Lonchura striata: one gene and its partners. The protein of the gene in region 1 purifies or fractionates together with the protein of each later gene. This does not show direct contact. Links are inferred from orthologs where the notes say so. Each region holds a gene or a part of one and is shown in the gene's direction. Other genes may lie near its edges.

The links.
Region 2: the proteins of RPA1 (region 1) and PPP1R12A fractionate together in Homo sapiens (co-fractionation; 3 studies listed by BioGRID, with this or other methods). This does not show direct contact. The link is inferred for Lonchura striata from reciprocal best matches to the Homo sapiens genes RPA1 and PPP1R12A.
Region 3: the proteins of RPA1 (region 1) and RFC1 purify together in Homo sapiens (affinity purification with mass spectrometry; 3 studies listed by BioGRID, with this or other methods). This does not show direct contact. The link is inferred for Lonchura striata from reciprocal best matches to the Homo sapiens genes RPA1 and RFC1.

The regions. Positions count from the first base shown.
Region 1 is NC_134622.1:6,994,066-7,004,604, forward strand, and holds the start of RPA1 (replication protein A 70 kDa DNA-binding subunit), read left to right. Parts: upstream 1-4,460; 5' UTR 4,461-4,538; coding exon 4,539-4,571; intron 4,572-4,847; coding exon 4,848-4,895; intron 4,896-5,164; coding exon 5,165-5,243; intron 5,244-5,763; coding exon 5,764-5,872; intron 5,873-6,689; coding exon 6,690-6,778; intron 6,779-10,539. Other genes in the region: protein-lysine N-methyltransferase SMYD4, read right to left, coding at 195-361, 610-792, 1,563-2,706, 3,004-3,093, 3,304-3,454, 4,071-4,201. UniProt on the Homo sapiens protein: As part of the heterotrimeric replication protein A complex (RPA/RP-A), binds and stabilizes single-stranded DNA intermediates that form during DNA replication or upon DNA stress.
Region 2 is NC_134607.1:48,668,262-48,678,800, reverse strand, and holds the start of PPP1R12A (protein phosphatase 1 regulatory subunit 12A), read left to right. Parts: upstream 1-4,307; 5' UTR 4,308-4,419; coding exon 4,420-4,656; intron 4,657-4,948; exon of another isoform or gene 4,949-4,968; intron 4,969-10,539. UniProt on the Homo sapiens protein: Key regulator of protein phosphatase 1C (PPP1C). Mediates binding to myosin. As part of the PPP1C complex, involved in dephosphorylation of PLK1. Capable of inhibiting HIF1AN-dependent suppression of HIF1A activity.
Region 3 is NC_134606.1:22,846,608-22,857,146, reverse strand, and holds the start of RFC1 (replication factor C subunit 1), read left to right. Parts: upstream 1-3,566; coding exon 3,567-3,728; intron 3,729-4,043; exon of another isoform or gene 4,044-4,143; coding exon of another isoform or gene 4,144-4,176; intron 4,177-8,721; coding exon 8,722-8,850; intron 8,851-9,805; coding exon 9,806-9,881; intron 9,882-10,539. UniProt on the Homo sapiens protein: Subunit of the replication factor C (RFC) complex which acts during elongation of primed DNA templates by DNA polymerases delta and epsilon, and is necessary for ATP-dependent loading of proliferating cell nuclear antigen (PCNA) onto primed DNA.

The DNA.
Region 1 (10,539 bases):
ATGCTAAATTGTTCCTCACTTGTATTCATTAAACAAAGTGATTTTTTAAATAAATTGTTATCAGCTTATTTGATTTTATAAGAAACAGTGAGATACTGTCTTGACTCAATAGGGGCTTTTGGCTTCTGAGCAGGGATCAAAGTGAGGTCTTCACACCCCAATTAAGTTGCACAATCATAACTATGGAGAATTACCTGCATTTGGGCCTGGCATTTGGGACAGCAGAATGAATTTCTGATGGACACCACACTCTTGACACCAGACTCTAACTCCTCGAGGCACGCCGGGCAGCGACAATTGAAGAAATACTGGTTGAGAAGCTGCTGCCTCTCAGCAACCCTCATCCTACACCAGTGAGGCCCTGCAAAAGATATCTCTCACAAGTACAGTTCTTAATATCAGAATAAGTGGATTTTTGTTACAATTGAGACTAGGTATATTTTGAGGAGGACACAACTGGAGACTGAAAGTCTAACAGAGGGCTTAAGGGACAAAGACTCTGACATTAGATGAGAATTATATGAGAATTATGACATAAATAACCATCAGCTTGATAAGGGGAGGTGAATGACATCTGTGCCTTGAGACAAATGCAGAACTGGGGCTTACCATAGCAATGCAAAACCTCTTGGCCACTTGAGATTGGCTGTGATGCCCTGACAGTGGCAGCTGTCCCACTGAATGACACGCTGGTATTGGGGCAGCACGAGTGGTTCAGGAGGCTGAGGACAGGGAAGAAGGCTGTTGCCAGCCTCACAGGCTTCTTATCTACAACATCCCCATCTCCAGGCCCTGAAGACAGAGGAAAACCAAGCAGGTTGAGATTGAATACTCCCAAACCCACACAATTTCTGCAATGAGCCCCGTGACCGATCGCAGGCAGCAGCAGAAAGGTTCCTCGTATATTGCTGCAATAAATAATAGCTAAACACGTCTTGCATGTGCACCAAGGAACAGGCCAGCATGGGACAGGCCATTAAATTGTAAACAAATCATTTCCATCTGCAATGGGAGCTTTTTACAGCTGAGAATTTAATCTCTTCACACAAGAACATGGGCAAGGAGAGGACAAGATGGGCAAGGAGTCCTGGGCTCCTCAGGACAGGAAAGAGGAGCTACTGAGAGGGTCCAGTGGAGGCCACAGAGATGATGAGGGGTCTGGAGCATCTCTCTTATGAGGAGAGACTGAGGGAGCTGGGCTTGGCTAGTCTGGAGAAGACTGAGAAGGGTTCTCATCAATACATAAACAAATACAGGTGTCAGAGAATAGTGATGGACTCTTTTCTGTGGTGCCAGGATGAGGAGAACCAGCCACAGATTAAACAAGAAGCTCCACCTCAACATGAGGAAAAACATCTTTCCACTGAGGGTGGCAGAGCACTGGAACAGGCTGCCCAGGGAGGTCTGGAGACATTCCAAACCCACCTGGACCCACTCCTGTGTCACCTGCTCCAGGTGACCCTGCCTGGGCAGGGGATTTGGACTGAATCATCTTCAGAGGCTCCTTCCAACCCCAACCATTCTGTGACAACACAGTAGGGCTTCAATTTTTTTTATCTTACCCAACTCCTGCATTACAGTGATTGCTTGTGCATTACACTGCAGCTGCAACACGTGCCTCAGCATTGCTTCTGCCACAGTCTTCAGCTCTGGGGACAATTCACCTGAGGTGTTCTCACATGCCTTTAGTTTGGACCACTGCTGAGGCGATTCCTGACACAGCACAGCAGCCTCCAGGCCAGCTGCTTGCAGCTGTTTGCATATAGCTACCACACTGAGCAAGCAGAGGAACTTGTGCTCAGGGCTGTGCTGCTCAGTGTGGGGTAAAAGGTGGAACAGAGCTTGGTAAGAGCTCTGGTACTGACCACTGCTGTCACAACCAGGGACACCTCTGCTACCAGCTCCTGCATCTGCTGCCTCACCGAGAGGCTTGCAGCTTGCCTCAGGGCACTGCAGGCTCTTGTCCCCATGGTGGGACCATGCCACCAGCCTGCTAACCTCTGCAAATCCTGCCAGCAGGACAGTCCTCAAGGCCACGTGGCAGAAGACTCCCAGCGTGAGGAGCAGCGCTCCCAGGGAACACTCTGTCCTGTGGTACTGCTGCCATGCCACGTCTGCACAGTCCTGGCTGCAGTACTTGGCATAACTGCAGCCCTGGCAAGGCACCGAGGCCAGGAGCTGCCTCAGGCAGCGGTGGCAGTAAAGATCCGCGTTGGTGGCTCGAGTGTCCCACGCTGTGTCACCATCCTGCAGAGGAAGGCTCTCCCCAGGGCACAGCACGCTCACAAAGGCCTCCTCTTTCACCAGGCTCTGTCCTGGCACGATGTCCTGGGAGGCCAGCAAGTGACGTCCTCTCTCTGCATCAAAACCCAAGCTCAGGGATGAAGATGCACCTGAAATCCTGTTGTTCTCTTCCCAGATTTCTGGCTCCCCTTGAATGCCACCATGTGCTTCTTGTGCAGGCTCTGGACACCTCTCTTTCTCACCTAATTTAACCTTCAGCTGACTTAACTTTTTTAGCCGTGCCAGGTTTGTAGTCATGACACCATCCAGAGCAAATTTACTCTCCAGCACTCTGAGGCTCTCCTGTGCATCCTGTAACCTCCCCAGGCGCAGCAGACACTCAGCTTTCCGCAGCAGGACCTTGGGCAGCAGCCTGTCTGGATAGCCATGGCTTTCAGCCCTGGCAATATCTTCCAAACAAACCTAGGAACAAAGATAAGGCCTTTTCAGTGGGCTTGAAAACCAGCTTGTGCTCTTTCATTCCACCTAAGTCTCATGGAAGAATTCTGTGTGCTAATCAGCAAGTTCCACGTGCATAACCAACCTGCTGCCCAAATAAAGCATCCTGAAGTAGGGAAGTTGAGCTATGGATGCTTTAAGCACAGCATGGGAAGCACAGCATGGGAAGCACATCTGATCTACTGTTTCTTGTTCTAATAATCCAATCCTTCAGGGGCATCCAGGACATTGCAGGGTGGGTGCTGCCCTGGCCCCACTTACCTCAAAGTGTCCCAGGTGGAGGAGGGCGGCCGAGCGGTTGGCAAAGCACACGGACAACTCGGGGCTCCCGGGGAGCTCGTGGGATGCTGCCTGCAGAGACCAGAGAACTGCTGCTGCCTCGGGGGATCCCTCACAGGACCCTCTCAGCAGGGCATGCAGGATCCCCTTTTTGGGGATCCCCTCACCGGAGCTGCTCCTTGCCCCTCACCCTTCAACCATGAGGGGCTGCAGGAGCCTCTCTTGGGGATCCCCTCAGGGATGTGAAGGTGTTGTGGGTAGGACCCCCTCTGCCACACCTACCTTGGAGTAGAGCCTCAGGGCAGCCTGGTAGTGGCCCTGCTTGAATTCCTGGTTGCCCTGCTCCCGGTACCGGCTCGCAGCCTCTGGCTTCTTGTCCGTGGCTGCCCGGTGGCACAGCTGCACCAGGGCTGCCTCCTCCTCCTCCTTGGTCCTGTGGGACACGGGGGCAGCACGGAAGGATCAGTTTGGAGTTTCTGGTCCAGCCTCCCTGCTCAAGCAGGATGATCCTTGTGGCACTGTGTCCAGAGGGTTCTGGAGTATCTCCAGCGAGGGAGACTCCACACTCCGTCTGTGCCACGGCGGGGTCACTGCACAGGGAAGAAGCTCTTCCTCGTATCCTCAGAATCACACGATTAGGTTGGAAAAGACCTCTCAGGCGGTGACGATGCCAGGTTTGTCAGCACTGAATTCCATGTCCCATCTTTCCTTAAACACCTCCAGGGACAGCGACTTCACCTCCCTGGGCAGCCCATTCCAGCGTCTAACCACTCTCCCTGCGAAAAAATTCCTACTCGTGTCCAACCTAAACCTCTCAGGTGAATTTAACCCTTTATCTTCTTGTCCTATCGCCAGCAACCCGGGAGACAAGGCCGACCTCCAACCTGCTGCCAGGTAGAAAGGTGGAATTTTATCCAGATGGAATTTCCTGCCATTGCAGCGAGCGGAGCCTCCTCCATCCTTCGACACCCCCCTTTATTATTTATACGCATTACGAGATGCTCCATTCCCCGCTCCCCTCGCTGCCCATCCCCGGACCCGCGGCTCACCGGAGCAGATCGCAACCCAACCGCACCGCGTCGTGAAGCGAAGCCGCCGCCAGCCGCTCCCTCAGCGCCGAGTCCAGCGCGGCCCAGAGCCGGGCGGTGCGGCCGCGCCACTCCGCCACCGGCAGCGCCATCACTGCCACCACAGCCACCGCGCCACCGGCAGCGGCATCGCCACCACTGCCACCACTGCCGTCACTGCCATCACTGCCGTCACTGCCATCACTGCCACTGCGCCACAGGCGGCAGCGCCACCGCCGCCATGGCGGCGCCCAGCGGCATCCCCACACGGCTCACAGCGGTACTTCCGCCATACGGCGCCGGGCAGCCAATAGAAGCGCGTTCTGGCGGGTGGCGCACGGCGCGGCGGAGGCGGCGCCGGAAGGAGGCGCCGGAAGGAGGCGGTGGCGGCGGCGGCGGCGGGAGGATTTGGCGGCGGCGGCGGCGGGAGGATTTGGCGGCAGCGGCACCATGAGCGTGCGGCTGAGCGAAGGGGCCATCGCGGTGAGCGGCCCGGCGTGGGCTGGGGTGCACCTGCGCCTGGGCACGGTGCGAGGTGAAAGCCGGGCCTGGGCACCGCGCCCTGCCCGGTCCTGAGGGGAGAAGCAGGCCCGGAGCGGGGCCTGGTCCCGCGGGGGTTTCCTGGTCCGGCGGTGGCGGCCGCACCCGCGTCCCTGGCTTCTCCACGGCAGTTCCTCCTCAAACCCTTGGCTGTAGGTCGGGCGCGGGGTCTCAGATGTTCCTGTGGCGCTTTCCTGAGCGTCTCTTTCATTTCTGCAGGCCATAATGCAAGGGGAGGAAGTCTTCAAGCCCGTGCTTCAAGTCATCGTGAGTACTGTCCCTTCCCTCGGTGGCTGCTCTTGGAGTCCTGAGTGCAGCCAGACTTTCCTCTGCAAAGAAGCCGAGCAAGGCTGCTCTACTTTTAATTCTCTTAATTTTGTTTTACATTGCTTGGGCTATGAAGTTGATATTAGTGCTCAGAAAAGCCGAGTAGATAAGTCACTTGTTAATGTCGCTTTCTGGTTTTGAAAAGTTTCTGAAGAAATGTGAACTGACAGCCTGTTTTTTTGGTTTTTGTTTTTTTTTTTTCCCTGCAGAATACACGGGCTATTGCCACAGGAACTGGGCCCCCACGTTACCGAGTGCTGATGAGTGATGGGGTGAATACTCTCTCCTGTGAGTATGACAAGCTGCTGTGAGGTTTTTCTAAGTGTGGACATGCTACGGGTGATGAAGTTCCTACTCTGGTGACTTGGATGCAAAGTGCTGAAATAAACATTGAAGGAGAATGTGTTTTTTTCACTGGCCCACAGACTCTGAAGTGTGTAACTACGTTTTGTCCTTTAGGTGAAATGTCTGGCTTTTGGAACATTGTGAAATATGAACAATCAATTTGCTGCAGGATGTAATGAAAATACAGAAACCTATACATATAACATTAATTTAAAAGTAATTTAGCTTAACTTTCCTCTTAGTTCTTTGATATACAAGCGTTCTAGCTATCACTGCACTCTGAAGTGTGGGGAATGAATACAGCACACTTCATGGTCAGTTTTGGTGACTTCTTAGCAGTTGCACTGTTTTCTTTGTCAAGCTGTAGATCCAGTGCAATACTTGACTGGCTGAAAAAAGTGTGGCAGTCCCTTTTAAAGCTGTCATTGTGAATTATTTCAATACTTTCCTTCTGCTCCTGCAGCATTCATGTTGGCAACACAGCTGAACTCCCTGGTGGAAGAGGAACGCTTGTCAGCCCGGTGCATTTGCCAGGTTAACAGATTCATTGTCAACAGCCTGAAAGATGGAAGGTATTTGTGTTAATCTTTAAGTTCAGCCCTACAGAAAGGCAGCTGCATGAGTGTGTGCTTTGTGACTAAGCAGAGGCCAAGTGCTTTTGGTTGGGATTATCTGACAATACTCATGTTTTAGGGTGTGAGAGGGACAGTCCACAGCAGAAGGAAATTGCAGAATGTGACTAGTGAGATCAGATGTATCTGGTACAGTGATATAGTAATAAAAAATTTCCAGTTGCAATACTCCACCTCCAGCTGGAATACTCCAAATACTTGTACAAAGCTTCCTTAAAATTTTCTGCTGTTGAAAAGAAACAATAAAGGTATCTTGTTACTTAGGTGTTGTGGGATCTGGTCTTTTATTAAAATTTGAGGAAATAGGATAGGAGGAAAATTTGAGGGGATGGGTACTGCAAAGTGGGAAGGGATCCAGGTGAAACTATTACAGAAAAACTGTGTGTATGTCTATCAGGAGATGAACTAAGGTTTGTATTCTTTTTATTCTGAAGAGAAGACAGCAACTTTTGAAGCAGGGAATAAAAACCTGGTATGGTTTAGCTATTTTTAAAACACAGTGGTTTCCCAAGCTATTTTTGGTGCCTGTTCAGGCCTGCCCTTGATGCAGTGATATCAAGTATCCTTGATATTGTTTCAAGTTTACTTGTCCCTCAAGAGAGGGCTTAGTTGACAGTGGAAAGCTTTTGTCTCCCAGATCCATAATCCAAAGAATCAGCCTCTTAATGCTTGGTTTTCTCAGCTGCTGCAAAGGATATCCTGAGATGGGAGCTGCAGAGGGAGTGACAGTCTTTGTTTGTTGTCTGTTCTGTTGTAGGAGAGTGGTGATCCTGATGGATGTAACTGTCCTGCAAACTGCTGATCAGGTTGGTGGGCCTATTGGCAATCCCCAGCCATACAATGAGGGTGAGTAGCTGCAAGTAAACACTTTTCTGTCACCTCAGAGCCTTTCAGCTTCTCTCTTTCACCTGAAAAAAGCAGTCAGACACATTCAGGGATTTTTTTTTATGCTCCAGATCTTCAAAATCCTTTTTGTTTGTGTCATACAAACTGGGGTTTGTTGCTATTTTAATAAACTCTGCATCATGGCTGAAGCTTGAGTCTCTCCATGGTGTTTGGAGCATCCATACCTTATAACCTTGACAGGTTTTTATTGTAGTGAGTGGTCTCTACCTCGAGTTCCAGTAAGTAAGCGGAAGCGATTTTATGTCTCCTCATAATGAGGAATCAAATAGATTCTAATTTCTCCTGTCTGGAAAGAAACAGGAGGAGGAAGATGGAATAATGATCTGTAAAAGTCTAAGATGCCATGGAGGGGATGAATAAAGAATGATGAATCTCTCTCTCTCTTTTTTCTATGTTCATTTGATGCTCTTCAGCTCTTGTGTTGTCAGGCAGTGGTTGTAAAACAAAGGCTGCACCACACCCCTAAACTGCACAGTTAAATTATGGAACTTGTGGAGGTAGGTGCCAAAAATTGGCACAGATTCAAAAAGCAATTAGATGTGAAAGAGAAATCCATTAAAGGCTGTTAAACATAACAATACATCCTCTGCATGAATGTTAGGTGCAGGAAGCACTAAAACTTAGATTGTTCCAAGTACATAGACAAGAGACTGGTATGAAAACAAGGAGAGCACAGAATTCCCCAAGCACCCATTCCTACCATGCCTAGCTGAAAAAGGATTGAGGCACTGGGTGGACCTTAATCTGACCTGCCATTAATCTCTTTGGATCTGTTATGTTGCATAAATAACTGTGTTCTTCCCTTTTGTGTGCTGAGCTTGCAGTTCTCATGCAAATGGTTTTTTAAATTAAAACATTTTTCCCTCTGAGAATGTTCAAAAGCCTGCTCTCTTCCAATTCTGATCTTTTAAAAAGGAGGGAGAATAAGAAGCCCTTAAAAGGAAATATTTTAACAGCTCTGTCAGTGATGTATACACAGATAATGGCTGGAATTTAATAGCAAACAGCTCTTCCTGAAGATTTTTTTTTTTAATCCTGAGAGAAGTGGACTAATATATTTTTATTGCTAAGGGACAACACATTAGTGTCAAGAGTTTTCTGTAGAATAGTTTGGACAAAAAGTGGTGGTAGGTACATTGCTCTTCTGGTTAAAAATCTATTCTGTTGCAAAGGCAAAGATATCTTTCTTCATTAACTTTTTCCAAGGGAATTAAGAGGGGCGTATGTTAAATGAGCCTAAAGAATCCTTTGTTCCTTTGATAGTTACTTAGCTAATTGCTGTTTAAAAAATGTGTTGACATCTCAGATTTTATGGTTTAATCCCACAGTTGCTGTAGAGACCAAGACTTTCAGAATAGCTACTGAGCAGACTGTTTTGTGCCTTTCTCCCATTTCCCTGCTTATGTGATACAAGAGCTTGTGAACTATAGTGTTTTTCAGTTATATTGTTGCTTAGAAACCACTGAGAACGTGGTATCTGACAGAACTGAGCTGAAAATATACCTTTAACTATAAATTCTGGTAAAATTACCATTACTTTGATCAAAGTTGTGTTCTTCATTTGGACTTACAAAAATACTCTGCAGTGAAGGTTTCAAATCTAAACTCTTTTGGAGATGTTACAGGTCTGTGGTCATAATATGTGTGGGTAAAAAGATGCCAAAAAAGATGTAATGTGTATTTCGTTTGAACACTGATCTTATTCTGACAACTTCATACCCTTTTATTTGATACTAAATAAGGTTTCTGATACAGAAGATGGTAATAATTTAGATTAGGTAAGCTTAACTCAGCCAGCTCTGCAAACTGCAAGATTTATCATGAAGGCCTTGATGAAATGGCAGAGGTGTGTATTTCAAGCTGGATATTCTCTAAGTTCCTGTATATATTAATAAATTGGTATTTTTGAGGGACACTCAGCTAAGGCAAAATGAACATCTTAAATGTACTTTGTGTTTCTGTTAAAAAAAAAAAAAGTTCTGGTATTTTAAAAATGTATCTTTTAGCCCTACTTTTGGTTTTCCTTGAAATACAGATCTCAGACTGCCAGACCTAGGATTAAGGAATATTCTTTCTCAGACTGTAATAGCACAGTGGGACCCAGGAGGGTGAGAAGCTGGCTTTTGGCCACTTTACATGGGAGCAGTAGGTGGTTAATCTGCCTAACAAGGAAGCTGGAGACACAATCTTCTTATTACAAATCATAAAAACTTTTCAGGCAGCCTCTCATAATAGTATTGAAAATTAAGACTGAGCAGTTTAGTTCTTGTTGAAGACTGGATGGTTGTGTTATTACTGTCGTTAATCTTATTCAAATTACTCTGATGCTGGACTTCCTTTTCACTATGACAATGACTTGCTACTTATGTTCAACTTCTGTCATTAATCTTTCCATGTTGAAATGTTTATGTACTTACACATTCACTTGAACTCCTTACTCTTGCCCTTCCCACTGCTGTGATTTAGAGGTGTGTTGTTTCAAAGTGCATTTTTTTTTTTTCCCTTCTCTCCCTTCCCTGCTGCTCAGTTTGGGGGCAGGTCTTGTGTCATGGCACTGTGGCAAAACCTCTTGGTGACAAATTATTGGAAGCTGAGGGTTCCTGTTACACAGTTATTGCCTTTGAGTGGGCTGTGAGGCAGCTGCAGGCAAAGGTCACGGGTTTGCCTAATCTACCACATATAGAAGAAATGTGAGCAGGTATTTCAGCTGCTTTTTTCACCTCCTGCTAATAAAAACTAGCAGCAAAAGCCAGGCAGCCTCCTCGGTTTTCTGAGCACTTTAAGTGATCTGTAGGCCACCAGCCACCAAAAATCACAGTTTAGGAGTCCCTAGGCTCTCCAAGCGAGAAAATTGGAGAGATATTTCTGCTACTTCTGTATTTGAACACATGCACAGATGTGTGAATTTATTCTTACTCTGTTGAGAAACACTCGGCTGTGGGTAGGCAGCCATTAAAATGTGAATTTGTGTTTCATAACGCACACGTGTTCCAATGGACGTGGTGGTCTTTGGTTTGGTTTTCAGTGGAGTTTTTTTTTTTTGAAACCACAAATTCCTACAGAAAGAAACATATTTGGAACAAAAGTAATAAGGAAACCTCTTGCTGCTTCATACCCACATTCTGTTCTTCTTGAATATTCCTCGCCTGACCAGACATATTTTTTTCCTGTTTTTCCACCTTCCCTTGCACAAAATGAATTTGGGTGTGGAGTGCTGACCCTCTGAGCACCTGAGGCCACGGAGCAAGGGGGAGACCTGGCTCCTCCATCTAGTGGAACCTGCAGTAAATACACATTTTGCTGTTTGACGTCATGCTGTTGCCAGGGAGACTGTCACCAGTTCACCGATGTGACTCTACTGCGGCAAGTTAGAGATTGGGCTTTGTGCAAGGACCTGGATTTTGGATTAAAAATAACCAGAGGGTTACTTCTGGAGACTCTTACCGCATCAGGCAGAACCACACTGGGGTCTCCTTGTGTTGCTTCTGCTCTTTTCCCGTAGTTTGGTGCCATCACTCTGTCCTGGGATTCTCTGCTTTTGTTCCTTGTAGTGCTCTACAGACTTGGTCTAACCTTCTTTTCCACTTTCTTTGACCATCTTCCTCCTCACATCCCACATCTCGGGGGTTTTGCCTGCTCAGGCCTATGTCTCCCTGTAAAACAAGACCTTAAGGATTAGTTGTCTCCCAAAGGACAAAAAT
Region 2 (10,539 bases), on another chromosome or scaffold:
GTGAAAAGATACTTTTATATTTTGTTATCCTTTCTCTCATTTTACCATCCAAGATTCTTTATAACAATCTATTTAATTTATTAGAAAGTTTTTTGTCAATATATATATTCAATATTTGTCACTATCCTTCAAATTACCCTTTTTTTTTCCCAGAGCTGGAATTGATGACATTAACTTTGATCTATTAGTTTTCCTTCAATCAGGGGAGAAAATCTTAAGGCAAAATTTTTAGAAGCCACACTGTGTGTAATGCTGTACAAAATGAGAGACACGGCAGCAATTATCCACTTGGAGGTCAGAACAAAATTCTACATCCCAAAAGATGATGATCTTGGGTAGTCAAAAGCTTAATCTGTGAACATTTGTTGTCTAGAAGCCTGTGCGAAATAGCTTTGAACAATGGTTGTAGTGCTTTTAAGAAAGGATGGAAAACCAGAAAACACACTGATAGCAATCTCATTGCTAAATCATTGTATTGATCACTTGAAGCCTGTCATTAAATTTACTGGAAACATGTATACACATAGATGCTATCTCTGTGAAATGTTTACATCATCACCTCTACAGAAAAACAGCTGTACTGAATTCAGTGCTAGTATTTGTATGTGGAAAATTACATACTTAATCACCTTTGGGATTGTGTATATACATGCAAACAAAGGATTTAACAGCACACCTAGTGTGTTGGGTAGTCTGGTAGCAATACACCGAAAAAGCCTGATAAAACTAGATCTAACGTAGGACACATCCTTAAGTTGCACTCATAATGTAGCTCAAATGGTTAAGTGCCTCTTATTAGCAACTATGATTATTGTAAACATGCATACTTATGCAGTTATCTAATTCACTCTTGTGATACTCTCTTGCAGTAGTGACTCTTTTAGAACTAATTTGATACTCACTTTTAACATGGTCTTCAAAAACAGCTTTAATATATGTTTGCTCTAACCCTTTACACAAATGAATTTAACACTCCAGGCTTAGGCAAATAATGGGAAAATAATTTCATATTTGTACCAAAATTATTATTGGTATTTATATATGTTTAGCTCAATTTGTATGGAATTAGAAGCTCTAGACCGTCTCATCTCTCAGCTACACTGATTTTCCAATGACATGGGATGACATTAGACATGGGGTAGAATGGCACTGTGATGGGGTAAAGAATATGACCCAATATGCCTTTGCTATTTAAATTGCAAACATTTATTAGAGATATGAGGTAGGAAAAAATTAGAAATTAAAAATATTATTATTAGTATTATTATTCCCTTCTTGAAGTGTGAACACTTGCAGAGATTAACTAGTTTACAGAAATTACAACTCTACTTTTTGCTTAAGGAAGACCATATGCTTTGCTAGATTTAAGAACTACATATAATTTCCAGCAGAGCACATAGCTATCTCCAAAGGACATTCATACTCAATATATATGGAATATCTGAGTTTCAGCTGACTGTACAAATGAATTATATCTTGCCTGTAGTGTCTGCAAAACCCCTCAAACATAACTCCCTACCATGATGTGCAATCCAAAAAAATTAAAAAGTCAAGGAAAATAATGTCAAGAATTTGGAGCATACAAATAGCTGCAGTGAATGGAAAAATATTTGCTGAAGTTCTCTGAAAAGCTGGAGCTGAATCAGTGAAAAAACTTTCCTGGAAAGAAGAATAAAAGGAAAATATGAAATCTGGGTTTTAAGAATAAAAAAATATTTTATTTAAGAATAAAATTGAGCTGTAGAACTTCTGCATTTCACTAACGAGACAAGAAGAGCAAGTTGGAGTTAAAAGAGGATCCCTGACCAGAAAGAAAAAGCTGAACTGGAAAATTGAAATCAAGCAGAGGGGACTGGAACTCTAATGAAAACTTAGAAACTTGCTCCGTGACATTGAAATTCCTGAGAAAGTGCATGTTGAACATATGCCTATCTATTTGCCTAGAATTACTTTCTTGCTAATAAAGCACTATATTTAAATATTGTTTGCTGAAATCAAACATTCTTCAGATATGAGGTTTCTTGAAGAGTCAAATTTTCAGACAGCCAACTGAGAGAGAAGCATGATGGGGAGGTGACTTGTAAAATATCTGAGACATCTGGGGCAGGGGAAAGAAGCTTTTGTCTTGCATTGCCTTTTTCCAGGGTATAGTTTTCAAGTCCTTAGGAAATGGCACTGTGTTGAGTCTGCCCTGGGAGAGTTTGCCCACAAGGACAAGACTACAGCAGGAGGCTGGAACCTGCACAAATTCCCTCCTTAGACATGAGTCAGGTGCTGCAGCCAAGCTCCCAGCTGGTAACTGTCCATGCCATGCTGGGTGGTACCAGTGCTATGCCAAAGCACAGCCAAATCACTCGTGTGAGTAATAAACACTGCAAAGACTGGTCTTGAATTGTGCTTTGCAGTCAGCCATATTTTCAAATCCAGGAACCTAAAATGTACCCCTGGATAGACACAGGCTGCCAAAGGGAAGGTATAAATTAGGTGCCAGGTAATCTTTCATCCACCTACTTAGACTGCAAATCTTTTTCTGGCAAATCTTTCTTCTTGACTACCAGATGTTGTCTTTTGTTCTCAATCACATTACGCCTGCAAACTGTCAGTGCATGTAGCTCATGCACTGCTGTATAAGTAAGTCTGATGGATATTATGCAAATATCTCCAGATGAAAATCTCTTCTGAAAGACATTAAGAACAGCACATTGCTGCAGGTATCTTGCAACTACTACTTCTTGTGAAATGTCACGGACATCTTTATCAATATAAATGGAAATAAGAGTCCTAGTCAGCTGCACAATTGCCCACCGTAAGAAGGAGACATTGTAATTAGAAAAGCACAAATTATGCAAAATTTGAAGTGTATGAGGTTTGGTGACTCTCTCAAACTATACTTGGTTTCCTGTAATTAGTTGAAAATAAAACTTATTTTCCAGTAAGTTCAAAACCACATTTTATCCCAGAGATTATTCCATTTAAAGCCAAATACATATTGCTTAGCTAAAGAAAGCATGCTGTGCATAGAAAAAAAAACTTTATTATCTGTTATAGCTTGGTTCCTAGAAGTTGCAAATCTGAAGAAAAACATTTTAGTCTTTGTATCTTCAAATCCTGTGTGGTTTGTTAACTACTTGTTTTCTCCCAAGAGAAAGGATGACTGTGCTACTCCCCAGTTTTGACATCATGGAAGTGAACTGTAAGTGAAAAGGACAACAATCACAGGGCTTTGTCCACTGCCATGCAGAATGATAGAATCACAGAATGTGATGGGGTTGAAATGGATTTTGAAAATCAACTAATCCAAATCCCCTGCCATGGGCAGCAGCACCTCCCTCTACACCAGGCTGGTCAAGGCCTTATCCAAAGTGGCTTTAATCACTGCCAGGCTGGGGCATCCACAACCTCTCTGGGCAACCTGTTCCAGTGTCTCACCGCACTCACAATGAAGAATTTTTTACAAAAACATCTAGCGTAATTTGTGCCCATTACTCCTGGTTCTATCATTACAGTTCCTGAAAAGGAGTCTCTCCTCAGCTTCCCTAGAGGCCCCCTGAAGTGTAGAGGCAAAGGGGGTGCTTTTGTAGATCAAACTGTGCTGAGGTAGTCCTATCTAACCTCCCAAAACAAATGACCCTCAACCATGTTGCTCCATTTATTTTCTCTTTTCCAGTCAAGTGGTTCCATATGCCTCGTTTGCCAACGCAGGCAGAAACACCCACCTGTTGCCGCAGGTGACAGAAGTCACCGTCGGGAATGGGCAGCACCTTTAGAAAGGGCCCGACGGAGGCGGGGCTGGACTTACTCCCCACTGCTCTCTGCCCACTCCACGCCCCTCTGCCCACTGCCCTCTGCCCACTCCCACTCCCCTCTGCCCTCTGCTCACTCCCCACTGCTCTCTGCCCACTCCCCACTGCTCTCTGCCCACTCCCCACTGCTCTCTGCCCACTCCCCACTGCCCTCTGCCCACTCCCCACTGCTCCCTGCCCACTCCCCACTGCTCTCTGCCCACTCCCCACTGCCCTCTGCTCACTCCCCACTGCTCTCTGCCCACTCCCCACTGCCCTCTGCCCTCTGCCCACTGCTCTCTGCCCTCTGCCCACTCCCCACTGCCCTCTGCCCACTCCCCTCTGCCCACTCCCCACTGCCCTCTGCCCACGCCCACTCCCACTCCCCTCTGCCCTCTGCCCACTCGGCCCGCGCGGCCCCGCCCCGCTCGCGCGCGGCCTCCCGCCGCACTGCCCCCCCGCGATCTCGCGGGATTATGCTAACGAGGCCGCCGCCGCCCCGCCTCTCCGCTCCCCGCCCGCCCCGCGCCCTCCCTGGGCGGGTGAGCGCGCGCGGCCGCGGTGCGCTGTGGGATAGTGGCGGTATAAAGTGTACGCTCGGCGCGGCCGTGGCTGAGGGGGCCGGCGCGAGCGGGGCATGAAGATGGCGGACGCCAAGCAGAAGCGGAACGAGCAGCTGAAGCGCTGGATCGGCTCCGAGACCGACCTGGAGCCGCCCGTGGTCAAGCGCAAGAAGACCAAGGTGAAGTTTGACGACGGCGCCGTCTTCTTGGCCGCCTGCTCCAGCGGAGACACCGAGGAGGTGCTGCGACTGCTGGAGCGGGGCGCCGACATCAACTACGCCAATGTGGACGGGCTCACCGCTCTCCACCAGGTCGGTGCTGGGCCGAGGAGGGACCCCAGCCGGACTGGGGCGGAGGGGGCGAGGCCGGCCGGCTGCCCCCCCTCCCCCCCCCCTTCCTCCGCTCCGGAGGAGGAGGTGGAGGAGGAAGGGGCCGGAGGCGGCTGCGCTCCCTCCGCTGGGGGGTGTCGGGGCGGGGAGGTGGCGGCAGGGTCAGCCTGGGACCGGCCGGGGCCGCGGGCCGAGCCCCGGGCCGGCGGGGCCGCAGGGGCGGGAGGCTGCACCCCCTCCCCGCGAGCTGGGCGTCGGAATGGGCGGATGGGCCTCTCCTCCGGCGGGAAGGAGGTGCCGCTCACCTTCTTTCGTTTTCCCCTTTTGGCAGCGCTTCCCTTGGAGGGCTGGGGGTGCGGGCCCGGCCCAGCATGGGCTGAGGGGGCCGGAGGTAGATGCCCCCCGGCGAGGGAGGGTGGCTGCAGGTGAGAAGAAGCGGGCCGCCCTCGGGGGGCGCTTCTGCCGCTGCCCCTTGCCTGGAATCCGGGTAGTAGCTCCCTGCTTCCCTCGTCTCCCCGGTTCCGCAGTAGTTGAGCCGATTAAAGCCCGCTCGTGTGTGCGGGCGGCCCTGTTGAGAGACAGATCATCTATTTTTCTCCGGTTTCTAGGGGAAGCCAGTGTTTTGTTCATTATATAGAAACGCGTATCAGTAAGGGGTTGTTTTCGTTACGATGGCTCCCGCCGCAGTGTGAAAGCTGAACTTCAAGCGGAACAGGGATCTTAAATTTTTTTTTCGTGCGTTGGAGAGCATTAAAAAACCCTATCCATATCGCTTTGTTCTGGTGTGGGTATGTGGGAGGGGTGTTGGTACCAAGGGAGGTAACTTTCACTTGGGTCAGGGGGGGAATGCACGGGAAACTGGCTGTGAAGTTTCCTCAAAATGGATGCTTTGTGCATGTTGAACTTCATAGCAGTCTGATTGGAATCTCAAAACGTTAGCCAAATAAGGAAAGGCTGTGGCAATCCGGAGATAATGCGGGTTTGCCTGAATAGTTTTTTTCTCTAGAAGGCCAAAAGTTTCCACGCAATATTAGATTCACTGAATATCTATAAAGCAATAAAATACCTTTGACAGGCTAGCTTCTTGTTCTTAAGTTTGTAAGTTGTTCAGTAGTTTCAAAAAATATCTTAATGTTTATGTGTTGTAGGTTGATCAAGTAGAAATTTTCCCAAAATGGTTAGGTGAGGTGGTTTCTTACATTAAAAAAAAATGAGATGGTGAATTTGTTTTCTCCATCCTATATAGGTTTTTCAAGGCTATGAGGCTCTAGAAATACATAAACTGCCTTGCAGAACTGGATAGAATCCCCTCTTGAATATGGGTTATAAAATTCTATGACTATTTGCTCTGTTTGCTGTGGCTGAGTTGTCACTTGCTGTTGTCACCCTGTAAAGAGTGTTGGTTTAATTTCAGTTGTGAACTGAACTGGAAGAATGAGTGTGTGTTGCGGTTAAGCCTGTCAGCGTGTTACTGCAGCGCAGTTACCTGAGTGCAGGCTAGCCTGTCACTTCATTGGAAGGTTTTCTGTATTTATCCTCCACTAATCAAGTTTTGGTAGCTTCATGCTTCCAGGGAGCTCTCTATGAGAAGCCATACCTTAATTGGCAGATCCTTGGATCTGCAAGTTGCTGTACTCCAGTCATTGGTAGGGAAGGATGATGTTTAGTTTAACTCTATTGTTAGAATAAGAGATGGTGTTCTTTCTTTCTGATGTCCAGAAGGCATTTTCAAAATGTCTTTGATACAGTATACAAAAAAGCTTTCCTCAGGGTAATTCTGAGCATATTCTCCCCCCTTTTTTGTATGTTGTAGTCAGCTTGCAATTTGAAAGGGCAAAGTCTAAGGGAACAGAGGTGAAGATTTACATCACTGCTAAAATCCTTGCTCATGCTCCTCCTGTCCCCTCCCCTCCTTTAGTGATACCAAAAGACCTTTTCTGATTCTATGATACTGGAAGCAAATAAGATCAGTTGTGAAGTTATAATCCTCTTGAGGCAGTACAGTAAGTTACCTGTTGCTGTGAAAAAAACATACAATGAATCCCTGCCTGTGACAACTCTGAATGGTTTCACTTCATTATTAACACAAAATCTTATTTTCTTCCAATATGCCATATAAAAGGTGCAAATCACACATGTAGTCTGTAGCATGAATTAATTTAATCCAATTTGGCTGCAGTGTGAAAAATTCTGTATCTGTTTTCAAAAGAAGCTCTTCAAAAACTTGTCATTCTTCCTGACACTTTTGACTGACTAATGGTAATTGTGTTCAAGTCGATGTTGTTATGTTTAAGATTGTCATGGAGTGCTGTTGCATTGTGGTTCTTTGGTTGGGTTCTTTTCTGTTTTGTGTCATCTGTTAGATCCCGTGTAGAAGACATTGCTCTTCAGAGAAGTAAATTTATCTCAGCAAAGGTAAAATTACTGTACTTTTTTTGGGTGTGTCTTTTGTCTTCTATCAGTTTATTTTTTCTAGTTATTGAGAACAAATACATATGCCTGGAATAGCAATAGAATTAAATGTTTAATGTAATATTTAGCCTTTGATTTTCCTGCTACATATGGCAGTTATAGGAAGAGCCTTCAGCTTTGTTTTATTTTTCACAGCTCAGGCAGTTGGAAGTGCTAAGGGGAATGTACCATTAATCCTGAAATTCTGGTGAACTTTAGGTCTGGTCTTTAATGGAGCATCAAGCTTTGTTGTTGAAGCCGTTAGCTAAGCTTTTCCTCTGATTGGGGTAGAGTGCCATCACCATCAGAGAGCTGCATGTAGAATTGTTTCTCTTCATGCATACTGGAAAGAAAACAATTACTTGACTTGGTAGCTGATAGGAGGAAAGCAGAGAGGATATATATAGGTACTTACTTCAGCTCTTGACAGTGCCAGTGAGCAGATTTTGTTTTATATCTGCATGTGCACAAATGAGTGGACTTGAGTGCGTCACATCTGAGGACAGATCAATTCAATTCTTTGGTATCGTGCAGAAGAGGAAAAATTGTCATTAGGTTATTATTGGTTATTATTCTTCTATGGAATTTTGAGTTCAGATCTCACTTTAAGAACGTGTTCTGCACAAGTCCTTAGAGTAGGCCTTCAGCACAAAGGACGATACTGTTATGTACTGTTTTCCTGTCTATGAGATATATATGCAATATAGGATATTGCAGCAGGATAGTGTGTATTGTGCTGCGTGATCTGCATTGTATACATACTGTGTACAGTGTACGTGTCTGTAAGACCAGAAGACTTTTAAATGAGAACTTAAATTTAAAATCAGATGTCAGTGGCATTACTCCAGTGGAGGTGGAAGTTTTGAGTGTTGCACTGTCAGATAGCTGTTATGCAGGATGAGATCTAACTTGAAGTGCAGCTTTTCTAATCTGCCTTAACAATGGAATGTAAGGAGAATTTGAGAAAAGAAAGAAGCTCAAAGGTGAACTGTGACCTTGCAGATTATTGGGGGGGGGCGGGGGGGGTAGAAGCGGCATATTCTGAAATAATATTAAAAAGCTATATAATATTTTCAGTAAAACCTGATCTTTTCTTAGACATATTTCTTCAGAGTGGGATTCAGGTCTCTTGTCCTGAAAGCTTAGCGCCTATCATTCCCCAGAGTTTGGACTCTCTTGTGCTTTCCTTGGCTTTCATTAAATAGAATTTAGTTCACTAGCTCTGACTGGAATTTATTGCTTAAATGGCTGCAAGTAGTTTGTCTAGAAGTTACACAGAGCTTTGTACAGGAAAGTGGAGCCCACCGTTTTTGGACAGCACCATGGAAAGACTGCATGTAGTGGGGAGGGACCATGATGTGGCCAGTTTCCTGGAAAGCTGGGTTCCCTGTACACATTGCTCTCCTGGGAATATTGAATATGCAGTGTGGAGTACCTGCACACACCTCAGCACTGGCTGAGATTAGGCTGTGGTTGGGTATCACAATTTATGCAACCTGCTTTTTGACTGCCCTTTTTCTTTGAGGCTGCTCAGGACTAGGGGATGGTAACCTTGTTTTTGGCCTCATTCTCGCTGGGTGAGGAGGGCGAGTGCTGCAGCCTGATTCCACCACACAGCATGGAAAGAGCATGTCCTGCTGTGCTGATCTTACCTGCTCTGGGGAGGGCACTGCTTTTGAGGTAGGATAAGGGAAATTGTCTTGGCTGGCTGTGCGTGGGGATCATTACACACCCACAGGGGATATTGTTGGTTAAGCCCCTGCTCCTTGTTGAAGAATTGGTGTCATCTTTTTTGTCTGTGAGAACTACAGTTTAATTAAGCAAAATTCCTCGATGGCTATCTCTCTGTATCAGTGTTTTTCTGCAACTCTTTAGGTGGTCAATTGAATGTGAATGTGAGACTATTTTAGCAATGTTATAGTTACATCCTAGTTTGCATATAGTACAGTATACAGTGGTAAATAGAAATTTCAATTTGCTGCCACTGTTGTAGGACTCTGATGTGTTTATCCCTGAATACTAATCAAGATTGTGTGTTTCAGAGAATGTTTGCTTGCTCTTTCTGAGTAAGGACAGTTACTTCTGTTATTTCCTTTGGGTTCTATGACATTTATGTCTTAGATAAGTACCTTCCTTTGCAGGAGTTTGTGCAACCGTTTATGTGAAAAGTTCTGCCAGGGCTCCTGGTGGCATATTCTTAGTACCTGATATGGTAACGAGTATGGATACCTTTGGCACCAACTGTGTTCTTGTTGCAACACCCTTTCAAACTGCAGCCAGTGATGCAAAAGGAATATAAAATCTACCAGCACTGGATCCCTTTGCCGCAGAATTTGATAGAGGGCATTATGGCTGCACTGTCTGTATTCCTTCTGATGAATGGTAACGTAAGTCATGTATTTGAGCTGGGGCTGCAGCCCATCAAGCTCTAAAAGCAAAGGTCAGGTTGCCAGAGTCTTAAATCTCTAGAGTGTTTGCATCATAGCAGCCACACTCACCAGCCAACAGTAAGGAAGGTATGGAAGTAGCTCAAAGCTGTCCTAGTAACCTCCTGGCTATGACTTCTACCATTACTCTTTCAGAGAATGAAAATACTGGTGCGTGTGGTAAACTTGTTAACTTTTCAAAACTGTCAAGTAGGAGGACCTCATTTCATACCAAAATGTTTGTATGCAGTTACAAAACTGATGTTGAAGTCTCACTGTTTGGAGGGGAACAACCTACTAATCACCAAACCTAATGCTGTCATTGTGGATGTCTACCACTGAGAATTTTGGAGTAATTTGTTCAGCTTGTCTTATTATTCTTTTATCGTGGCTTCTTTTTTTTTTTTTTCCTATTTATCTATGCTACAAGATAGACAGAGGAAATTAGTCCAGAAATAAATGTAATGTTGACTTCATTCAATGATCAGACTACAGAGGCATATTTGTTTAAATTCTCTTTTGTAACTGGTTCTTGTGTGGGCCACAGATCCTTCTCTCTGTAGTTACAGTAGCTAGGTTCAGATGGTACAGTAAGTACTTGTTAACTTCCTACTGATGTTGTCATCTAAGATTTTTAATTTTTTTTTCACTCTTTGAATTGGAGGCAAGAAGAGGGGGAAAAAAAGGTGTGATTTTCCCATAAGATACTCTGAGTATAATAGTGGAAATTTAAATACTGTATTAAAAAAATTGTGTTCTCCTTGGTGTTTTATGAAAAAAATGAGTTACAATCTCTTCACCTTCTTAGGTTTATTTCTGTCAAGTCTGAACCTGGGATTTCTATGTGTTTTCAGTGCTGTGGATATTTCTTGTGCACAAACAGAATAACCCAAGTGAATTCTAGCATATAGAAATTACTTAGAGTATTTAAAACCAGTTTTCATGTTAGTGTAACTGACAGGTTTGTTAAACTTGCTAGTCATGGAGG
Region 3 (10,539 bases), on another chromosome or scaffold:
GTGGGCAAGGGAAAGACAACAGGCTTCTCCCCACTAAACGCAGCAGCGTTAGTACCACTGGCACAAGGATGCAGAGCGTGTTGCACCTGCCTGAGATGTGTAAGGTGCAGCAGAGACTGGTGCTCTCAGGTGCTTGGTCTGTATAAGGTTATGAACTGTATTTCTTTCCTTATTACTGACATGATTGGGAGCATGCTGTAATCATGGTTTGAAAGTGTTTTAATGCCTCAAGCCTCTGTGAATCCAGTTTCTTACTGCTTGGTCATATTTAACTGTTTGGGCTGTAATATAACTTCATGAAGTTTTAAAGAGGAAGCAGCTTAAGTGACGAAAATCGTATAATGACTTGAATTTGGAAGGAGTTCATTACCTGAGCAAAGACTTGGGGAAAAGAAATACTGTTAATCTGGAAAAGCAAATTTAATTTGACTATTAAAGCAAATGTTAATTTGACTGTTCTTAATTTGGAAAGCAATCAGCATGGAAGAGTGAGATGTGATCAGGGGGTGTTAGGAAGTGAGGGTGTGAAAGGAGGAGAAGAGAATTAATGATTCCACTGGCTCAAGTGGCAGAGTCAGGCCAGGCTCCAACCCTGGTGCTGTATGAGGACATACAATATGATGCTGCACAGTGGGATTTCCTGCCTCTGTCCACACACCTAATCAACTTGGTTTCAGAATGAATCAAGATTGGGAGAAGCTGCAATCTGCAGGGCACTTGCTGATACAGATTCAGGAGTTAGGAAGCCTAATGATTATTCAGTTCAATTCTTACTTATCAGATTTCCTTTTCTTCTTTGCCTTTGCCAAGGCATATGATTCAAATTAAGAAAACAATTTTTCACTTGGCTCTTGAATATGTAGTCTCCATGTTTTGGGGCTTGCCTTGAAAACTTGGGGTTTGATCTACAGAAATGATGAACACCTTAGTTGAAAGGACAGAGTTTTGAATGTTAGACTGAGTATCAGTTGACGCTGATATGTAAATGAAGAAAAAGACCTAAAGACAAAGTTCACTCAGAAGAAGTGTAATGTTTACATTAACATCAGCTGCTCAGACCTACTAGTTTTAGGTGCTCAAAGAAGCACAACTTATGTAATCGCCCACAACAGCGTCATGCAAATCCCTTATCTTTACCTTACACAGCTAAAACTGTTTGAGATGGGATCAAGTCTTTCTAAAGACACATAATTGTGATGAATACTATCGAAAGCCCAATGTAAATAGAAACTACATCACAGCTTTATGAAGAATTTTTGGAATTTTCCATCTGTAACAAAATGCTAATTTCTGCTTCTACAATGCCTGAAAAAAATTATTTTCTTTACTAGAGAGTCTAGTAAGAAAATATTCCTTATGGGATTCCTCCAGAATAGAAATGACAATCTAGTAAATTAGTATTTTAACGTCCATTATTACTACAAAAACCCAGAATTTAACATGAAATTTCACTTTAAAAATTGGTTTCAATTCAAAAAAGTATTAATGTATCAATATACAAAAATGTGGAAATAGAATAAACAAGATATTAACAAAAAGAAAACAGACAATTTTTTATTTCTCAGTACAAGAAAATGTAATTTTCTTATTAAAAACCTCCTCTCTCAATAAGCAAGACAACGATTTCACTAATAATATTAACAGTAGGTCTGGGCTTATATAGGGGAAAAATCTCAAGTTCAAGATTTAATATCTCACTTTTTAAAACGTATTTTGGAAAAAACCAACAATATAAAACAAACAAATAGTCTGTGGGTTTCAGCAAGGTAGAAAACAATACTAATAATGCAAAAATTATTTGTCACACTTGCCAATGGAGTGGAGAAATCAATTGTACTTTAGCTACTTTTTAAAAAGTTGTAATTTTAGTTGGGTAATAGGCCTTTTAAAAAACACTACCCATGATCAATTATAGACTCATGGGATTTTGCCTTGATTTTACCTTGCAAAGCACATCATAATACATAATAATGAGTATTCAGTTTTCTTTCCTGTGGTGGAGCAAAGTTTTTCCCACTTCCACTGGTTCCACAGGCATGTACATAGGAACTGAGGTATCCTGTGTCTCCCCACCATAGCCAGGAGTGAATTGTAGGCATTCCAGCTGTTCAGTCTGATGTCTCCACACAGGGTTGAACTCTTGCCTTCCGAGAAACATGAAGACATCATGAACCCACAAACAGATACTCCTCTGCTGGCTGTTACTCTAGGTAGCTTTATCAACTACAAAGAGAGATAACCACCCGCAATATCTCCTCTAGCAGTATTTGAACTGTTTGGCTCTTACAAATATCAGCCATTTAAACTGATCTTTACTTCTAGTATGAGGAACAGCACAGCTTTCAAAGTTACATAACAAGAATTAAATATGTAAATACAAATTTATCACTGGAGATGTTTTTCTAAAGCAATATCGATTTTGTTTGCGTAGCCATTATGTTGAGTGCATATGGAGTAACTTGCAAAACAGGCCAAAAAGCACAGCCTGTGCTGTGGGTCTGTTTACTTGCTCACTGTGTTCCTTATGCAGAAACCCAAATTCACAAGATATACTATTGCTGAAAATACACGGGCCCACCTAGCCATGTGTGTTCATAAAATAAAGGTAGCAGTTTCTGTATAAACAGGACCTTACAGTTACTTAAAGTCCAATTTCAAGAATTTAACAGGAACGGTAATAGGTATCATTAACAGTGTGTGGAATGAGACCATGCCACCAAGCAGGCAGTGAACACAGAGAGAACACAAGCGACAGCATTAGGGATTGCAGTACTTATACTGCAATTATATACATACAAATACAACTACCCATTGAGCTTGTACTCTGGTTGATTTATTTTTTTCTTCGATGAAGGGTCTCCCAAATCACCGGCAGTATTTGTAACGTCACAAATTCAGTTTGTCTTCCCATTCTTCTCCAAGTCCAACAATAATTAGCGATTCAGTAGGTTGACAGAATCTAAACAATATACAATATTTTAGAGTGGAGTAGTTTTTATTTGGCTTGAAAAAATTTATCCCCTTCCAGCGTTCAGTGTGCTTAGTGGAAGAAAATACACACTATTTCATTAGAAATAACTTAGAAAATTAAGCAGTCAGTAGCAGAATCACAACGCTAATTAATTCCCTGGTTTCTGTCGGACTCCTGAGCTCTCCCCAGCCTTGGCGCATGGGAGAAAGTACCATTAGAGGAACCAGACGCTCGGATGGGCAGGAAGCTGGGAACTATCACACGTTTATCACCAGTTTACGAGCAGGAAATGCCTTCCAGCCGCGCGGACCCGGGGCTGGCTGCCCGCCTGCTTTGGGAGCTGCGTGTGCCTCAGTGCCCAACACAGACGGGAGCCATGGCGGCCTGGCACTGCTTCCCCGTCTGCTTTCACCCAGCAGCTCGGCTGTCGGCTCGCCCGCTCTGCCGGACGCGCCCGAGCGCTCGCGGCTCTCCCGCTCTGCTGCTGCAGCGCTGCCGTTCCCGCCGGCACGGGCCGGAGCCCCGCGGCAGCGGTTAAACCCCTCACGGAGCGGCCGCACCCGAGCGGGCCGGCTCCCGGGCGGGCGCCGCTGCCATGAGCCCGGCCCGGGGCACGCCCCGGCCGGCCCGCAGCCCCGCCCGGCGCGGCCGTGACGGCAGCGCGGCGCGCCGGGCGGCGGGAGTTGGCGCGAAGGCGGGAGCATGGAGCCGGCGGCGTCCCGCTAGGCACGGGGAGCGCGCCGCCGCCGCCGCCATGGTGAGGGGCTCCGCCGGGCCGGGGCTGTGCGGGGCGGGGGCGGCGCGCAGGTCCCGCCGGCCGGGCGCGGCTGCGGCGCCGTCGGGGCCCGGCGCGGGCTGAGCGAGCCCCGCGGGCGGCCCCGGGCGCGCAGCCCCCGCGCAGCCCGAGCGGCTGCGGCGGAGCGGCCGCCGCGCCCCGCCCGCTGCGGCCGGGGCTTCCCACGCGTGCCAGGAGCACGGGCCCGCGGCCGGGGAAATGCCCGTGCCCGGAGGGGGATGTGGCTGAGCCCTCCCGGTTTCGCTTTCCCCGAAAGCGGGTGGGGTGTAGGGCGCGGGCCGCGGCTCGTCCCGGGAAGGAATGCGGATGAGCGAACCTGCGGTGAGGTGAAGGCGCTGTGCCGGAGCGGTACTTCTTCCTTTAACCCAGCGGGAACATGCACGAGGCGTTTCTGATGACGAGCTGGAGGGTGCGCAGTATTTGCCGAAAAACAATTCGATGGGAGGAAAAAAAGAGCTTAAAAGTTTATCGATAACGACGCAACCCTCAATAGGATGTAAAGAGATTTTAAGCATAAACATAAACGTGTTCCTATGCTTTCCAAAGTTCCGCTCATGTATGCAGTGACCATAGGATGGTATCCCCTTTTCATTTCTGGCCAAATGAGTTTGCTTTTATTCTGTGCACATCTTTTACTGGCCTAACTACAGGTGTCATTTTGCCAGTTAAGGCGCAACTCTAGTTTTGGACTATCCAAAGAGTTTAAGCTTGTTTATAGTTTATGCCTGGTGCTCTGCAATGGTGGGTGATACAGTCTGAGTCTTCTAGTGTACTGACAGAAGTCTGCCAGCACTAAGACTCCTGACACTATTGAACTGTGATATTTTCATTTGTTTTGAGCTGGCTGATGACTTCAAATTTATGTAAGAGATCTGCCTCTCCCATGCCTCTGCTAACACCTTTATAGAAAAGTGACCTTCTTGGAAGGCTTGCTTCCTCCTTTCCCACCTTCCCAGGACAAATTCTTCCTCTGTGTGATCTTCTGAACGTCACACATCTCAGTGTCTGGGCCTGTCTTAGAAGGGACGAAAACAGCCATCATTTTGGGGAGGGTAAAAGTTGCCTCATCCCATTCCCTTTTCAGTGCTGAAGTGGTTACTCAACCATCTCTGCTGCAGCTGTGGCGGCAATAGAGGCAGAAACACAGTGAGTTACTAATGGTGCAGACTGTTCTGCTTGTGCAGTGACAGCCATGAGCTTATTGCAGTCAATGTCACACCCTTGCAAACTTTTCTCCTGTAGTGCCAAGTGTAAGTAGCCCTGTTAGCTTGATTCTGCAGCATATTCTCATTGTGCTGAGCTGATGTGTGAAGAGTTACACAACAAACTGATTTGCATTAGAAGGGATTTATTTTTTCACCCAGATTAGTGGCCATGTCCCAGTTCCCAAACAGCGAGCTAAAGTGGTACACCCGAGGGAGTGAATGCCCAAGAGTGGGGGTTTCTTGAGTTTCCCCTTCAGAGAGTGACACTCATGGCTGGAGGAGGAGCATCACTTACAACTGTGATACTGTTTGTAAAACTGCTGCAGTTACCACTGTCAGTAACTGTTCATTAGGTGTAGTTACCCAAGCAGGTATTACTGGTTTCACTGAAGTGATAGTATAAATCTGATTTTAGTTAGTGCAATTGTTCTGGAGGTGCTGAATGTCAGAGCTGATATGGGAGCAAAACTTGCACTGAAATAGGCAGAGTAGAAAGAAATATGACTGTTGTGGTGCAAGGCCCTCATTGAGACACACAGAATACCTGAAGTACGATGCATTACTTTCTACTACAGTCATTGAGTTAGGTTGGTGAAGTTCAGTTTTCTATCTTGTATTTTGAGGTGCAGACTGGATTATGTGATGTAACTTTGGAAAATATTCTGCCTTACTAAACACTAGTCTTGTAAAAACACTCCTGGAGTTTCCCAGTCTTTGTACTACCTAACAAATTGGTTTCAGTTTCTGTTTGTGTTACTCTCCCCGGTAAAAAAATAAAGACATACAAATCTTCCAAGAGAGAACTTGCAGCCTGGCATGATTAATTACTGTGGTCTTCTGTTACAGTGTGAGATGGAAGATTTAAGCAGTAGTCAGAGCAGGCAAGGACTAGATGGCAGAGCCATACAACTCTGAGATAGCTGAGCAGCTTTTTAGGCTTTTCAGATGCTAGGCATCAATCACCTGACTGAGAGTGATCAGAATTCTTAGTTACAGCTCCTACCAGATGGAGCTGCTCAAAGTTATTCCTTGCTGGTGCTGTGCTGAAGCAGCCCTGGGGAGCCAAAACACCAAAAATTGCCTATTTTAATTTTAGCCTTTTGGGCAAGGGAACAGCCATGCTGGTTAATATCTCCAGGATACACAGGGCACATTGCTGTGAGTTTTGGGGGTATGTCCTGGAAGGAAACTTGACAGCTGCAGCCTTTCCTCATTGGAACAAGGATAGGTAAAAGCTAAACATGCAGATTTTCCAGCTGCTGGTACTATATATGTATGGATGGCATACCAATAGGAAGGTCAGTCAGAGTATGTTAAATAGATAAGCCCAGGATGGTGAAAAGTGGTCCTGTCTGGAATCTAAGTTGCTATGATAGATACTTATGTGGCTTGATTTCTGCAATTAGTTATGCAATGAATTAATAATTTGTCTGGCATGCCTTTATAAAAAGCATGAAAAATCTGTTTAATGATTCCCGGATAAAACCTTCACTGAAAGGTAACTTTGTTGTTGGCCCTGAGACATGTTTTTCTCCCAAGCAATTCTCTGTTCACTGTGTTATGTCATCAAGGTAAACTTTTCCTCTGAGGAGCAGGATAACTGAAGAAGATTGGTGAATTTATAGCAAAATATTGAAGAGGCTGTGGATAGAAGTCAATCTTTGTACCTTAGGGCTGTGTATTTTAAGTTCTCATTTCATAAACCTTGTATAAATCTTAAAGAATTCTAATATTGTTACCTGTTCTCAAAACACCAAAAGGTTCTGCAAAGCTTCTGCCAGAATTATGTACACTTTACAGCTGATTCCAGAACTGAAATCCAAACTCAAGATCAAGTTAGTAGAAAAGCAGTGATTAATAAATCTTGCAGAAAAGCCTTTGGGGAAGCCTACTGAAAAGCTTTATAAATACATTAAAGCAGACATGGTTTTAAGCTGGGCTAGCTAATGAAATACATATTTCCTGCTACCACGTTTAAGGTGTACTAGTTTGATGACTGTAATTTTGGGATGTATTCATGTTCCCTCATGCAATAATTTCCAGGTAGCACAGAGGTTGGCAGAACAAGGTAGATTTGCAGAGCACCTCAGTTAACAGTTTTTAGTGAAAACAGTAGAATGAATAGAGCCATACTGTTATTCTAAAACTAAATTCTCAAATATTTTAAGCTTTAAAGTAACAACTATTAAAAAAAAGGAGAACTTTAAAGTCACTTTATTTTGCAGTGTTGTATTAAGTATTTAAATTATTTTGCTACATAAAAGATCTAATGATATCTGCTTTTTCTCTTGCCTATGTTACCTTAAGCCTAAAAGGAAGTCAGTAATAATGAGTATAATTGAGTAATTAAGTCCAAATATCGATTTGGAGACTTTTTAAATAGATGTTCTCTTCAGACCTATTAGCTATAGATACTGGCTGTCAAAATTTCAGATTTATGTAGTGCTGCATTTATCTTGTAGGAATATATGTTAAATAGTAGAGCATTGAAAATCTGTGCTTCAAGGCTTGAATTCCATGGATGGAGAAGTGTGAAGTCACATTGAGTAAGAATGATTTTCAATCTACCATTTGTTGAATCCATATTAATACATGCAGTTAAAACACTAAGAGCTTAAATATTTACAGGAAACATGTAGAAAATTGTTTTAAGTGCACTGAATGAATCAATGCATGTCCCATCTTTTGTTTATGCTTTCGAAGTACATGTTTCATTGATTTTAAGCCCTAAGTCCAAACTGACAGGAGTTGATTGTTAGAAAATGAGCCTCAAAGACCCCTTATTATCAATCAGACTTGATGCCAGTTTCCTAAGTGTGCTACTTTCCTTGTGGTTCCCTGTAATAGTAAGGAAGTGCCAGCTGAACTCCATGTTAGGGAATAGCTCCCAGCTGTGTCCAGGGGAGTCCTGAGCCCCACCCTCTACCTGCTGTCTGTGATTTAGGCAAGAAAGAAGGTACTGCCTTTCTCTAAAATGGCTGCTGACCCTGGAGGTAGTGATACCAACCAGGTACCTCTTCCCTCAATTTCTTTTAGAAAAGCTGGATTGCTAGATTTTTATAAGAGTAGTCTGATGTGATTTTGTTTGATAAAGTTGTCTGAAGTTTGAGCTCCAGCTGCTGATTTTATATGCTTAGAAAGCTTTTAATGGCTGTATTGTGGTCAGATACTAAAATAAAGTAACAAAATAGATCAAGGTGTTATTTTTCTTTATTTAAATTTTCTAAGTTTCTTGCTGGCTAGTTTTTTAGTGAGGTGTGAGTTACTGTCTTAAAAACTTATGAGAAAGTGAAGAATGCAGTATGTGCCATTACTTCAGTGTGTCAAGCTCCTGGTCCTTTTCTTTCTTTTTACATGGGACACTACTTAGCTGTGTTAATTATTTTAACTATAGAAATAGTATGGTTTAGGTTTGTGATAATTAATCAGAAAAAATTGTAATTACACATCTGTCTTAAGTCACTATTTCATTGCTGCTGGAAGTTTGTCTTGCGGTATGTATTGGTGAAGATGCCCAGCTAAAGAAGAAATAAATTTTTTTCATGATTCAAAGACTAGAATCAGGTGGTGTGGGTGTCTGAGTAGCTACTTTTAACTATTTGGGCTTTGTTTGCTGAACTGTAAACAAAATTCCAAAATCGGTCAATGTAATGGAGCTGCTGAGAAGGTAACTTCAGTACGTTACTATTTTGTAGTGTGAAGAGCTGTCTGTATTTAAAAACTTATAAATCTCTTTTCCCTTTTACTAGGATATCCGGAAATTCTTTGGTGTTGTACCTTCTGGAAAGCGACAAGAATGTGAGACTGTGAAAAAGAGTGAAAAAATTAAAAATGGTGAAGGACCCTCAAGTGGGAGGAAAAGGGAAAAGGAAGCTAAGGTTAGTTTTGCTTTTCATGTTTATGAAGTGTTTGTGTTTGGTTTCTCTGATGCTGGATTGTTCATGTATCTAGCATTTTTTAAACTCCTGGTTCTTCTCATATACTAAAATGACAGGATATATGTCAGTTGTTTTTATAGGCATGGGAGGCATACATAGGCATGCTATGTATTTATAGGCATAGCAGTAAAGCTTTGTAGGTGGTGAAGAAAATTGCTAATTTGAAAAATATGGGTTATAGGACAAAGACAGGTAAAGTTTTTATGGTTAAGTGCTAGTGTGAGAACAGTCTGATATATTTGAAGTTATTCTAGCTATTGGCTACAGTTCTCTAAGTAGGTTTGCTAATGTAATTTCTAGTCTAATAAACCCAAGGTTTGTGCCTAGTAGATGTAGACATACCATAAAGGTGTTGTGCTTGCAAATGAGGTAAAAGTCAGTTGTGTGGTGCCTGCTGACCAGTTTTTTAAACACCTCTGCAGGAAACATGAACATTGTGTTTTTTGGGATCACTTCTCTAAACCTGCTGCAAAGACCAAATTCTTCAAAATGACAGATTAAAACTAGATTGGGTTCTGGTTTCAGACTACACGTTAATCATCTGAGCTGCATAAAAAAGAAAGTAGTGGCTAAAGCTAGTTTAAAAATCACTTAAAGAGTGGAAGAATTTCTAATAGGATGGAATGTTTAATGTGAAACACAACAGTTTAGTAGTAAGAAGCTACTTAAATAAGTATTCAATGAAATTTTAGTGTGAAAATTCTTCCTTATTTTCTCCATGCTGCATCTTTCCCCCTCTCACACAGGAATTAGCACAAGACCGTTTGTAAATGTGATACTGGAAAAGAAATAATTTCTGTTAGAATTTGTTTAAATCTCATACATTTGAATGTATGCCTGACTAAAAGCTGAGAGGATTTGTTTAATAGTTGAACTAATGGACTGTTACACTTAGGTGAATAATTCACCCAGTGAAGATGATTCCCAACAGAAGCGGACAAAAAAGAAGAGAAGAATAATCTACGATTCAGGTATTGTTCACAGTTGTTTCTGAATATTCCTTCGTTTTTTTTTGCATTAGCATGCAAGGTTGATTAGGTAAACTGTACATCTGAAAGTTTTTGTGGGTTGAGTTTTTTGAACAGTTCCTGTTCAGCAGTGAGGAGTAGTAGGAGTACAAAATTAATATATTGCTGCTACCTTTAAAGTATTGATATTGTTTAGAGATTTGGCAAGTTCTAACTCTTTAGTGGTAGGATGGAAAAAGAGAAACAGTGCTGTAAGCTCTTCAAGATGGAAAACTGTGGTTTTTTGTTTGGCTTTTTGGTATTATTAGTACTGGTGATTTTGTTTGTTTTATTTTGTGCAGGGTGCCAGTATGCAAGTCAATTGACTATAGCCACTTTTTTATTAGATAAAATTACAATATATTTGTGTTTATCATGGAAAGAGAGACAGGGCTAATCTTCAGAGTCTAACACTTGTTAGTTGTCTCTGCTTCTTCAGTTTCTCCTGTTTATTCATGTGGATGCTGGGATCCATAATCCACAGTAGTATAAATCTGTCATCTCCAAAGTTTTTAGTATATGGAGAATGGTTAGTGATGTGAGTGGGAATTCACCAGTGTTTTTTTTGTTCTTTGCTTGTTGTTAGGTTTTGAAATAGGTTTCTACCTATTGGAACACATCA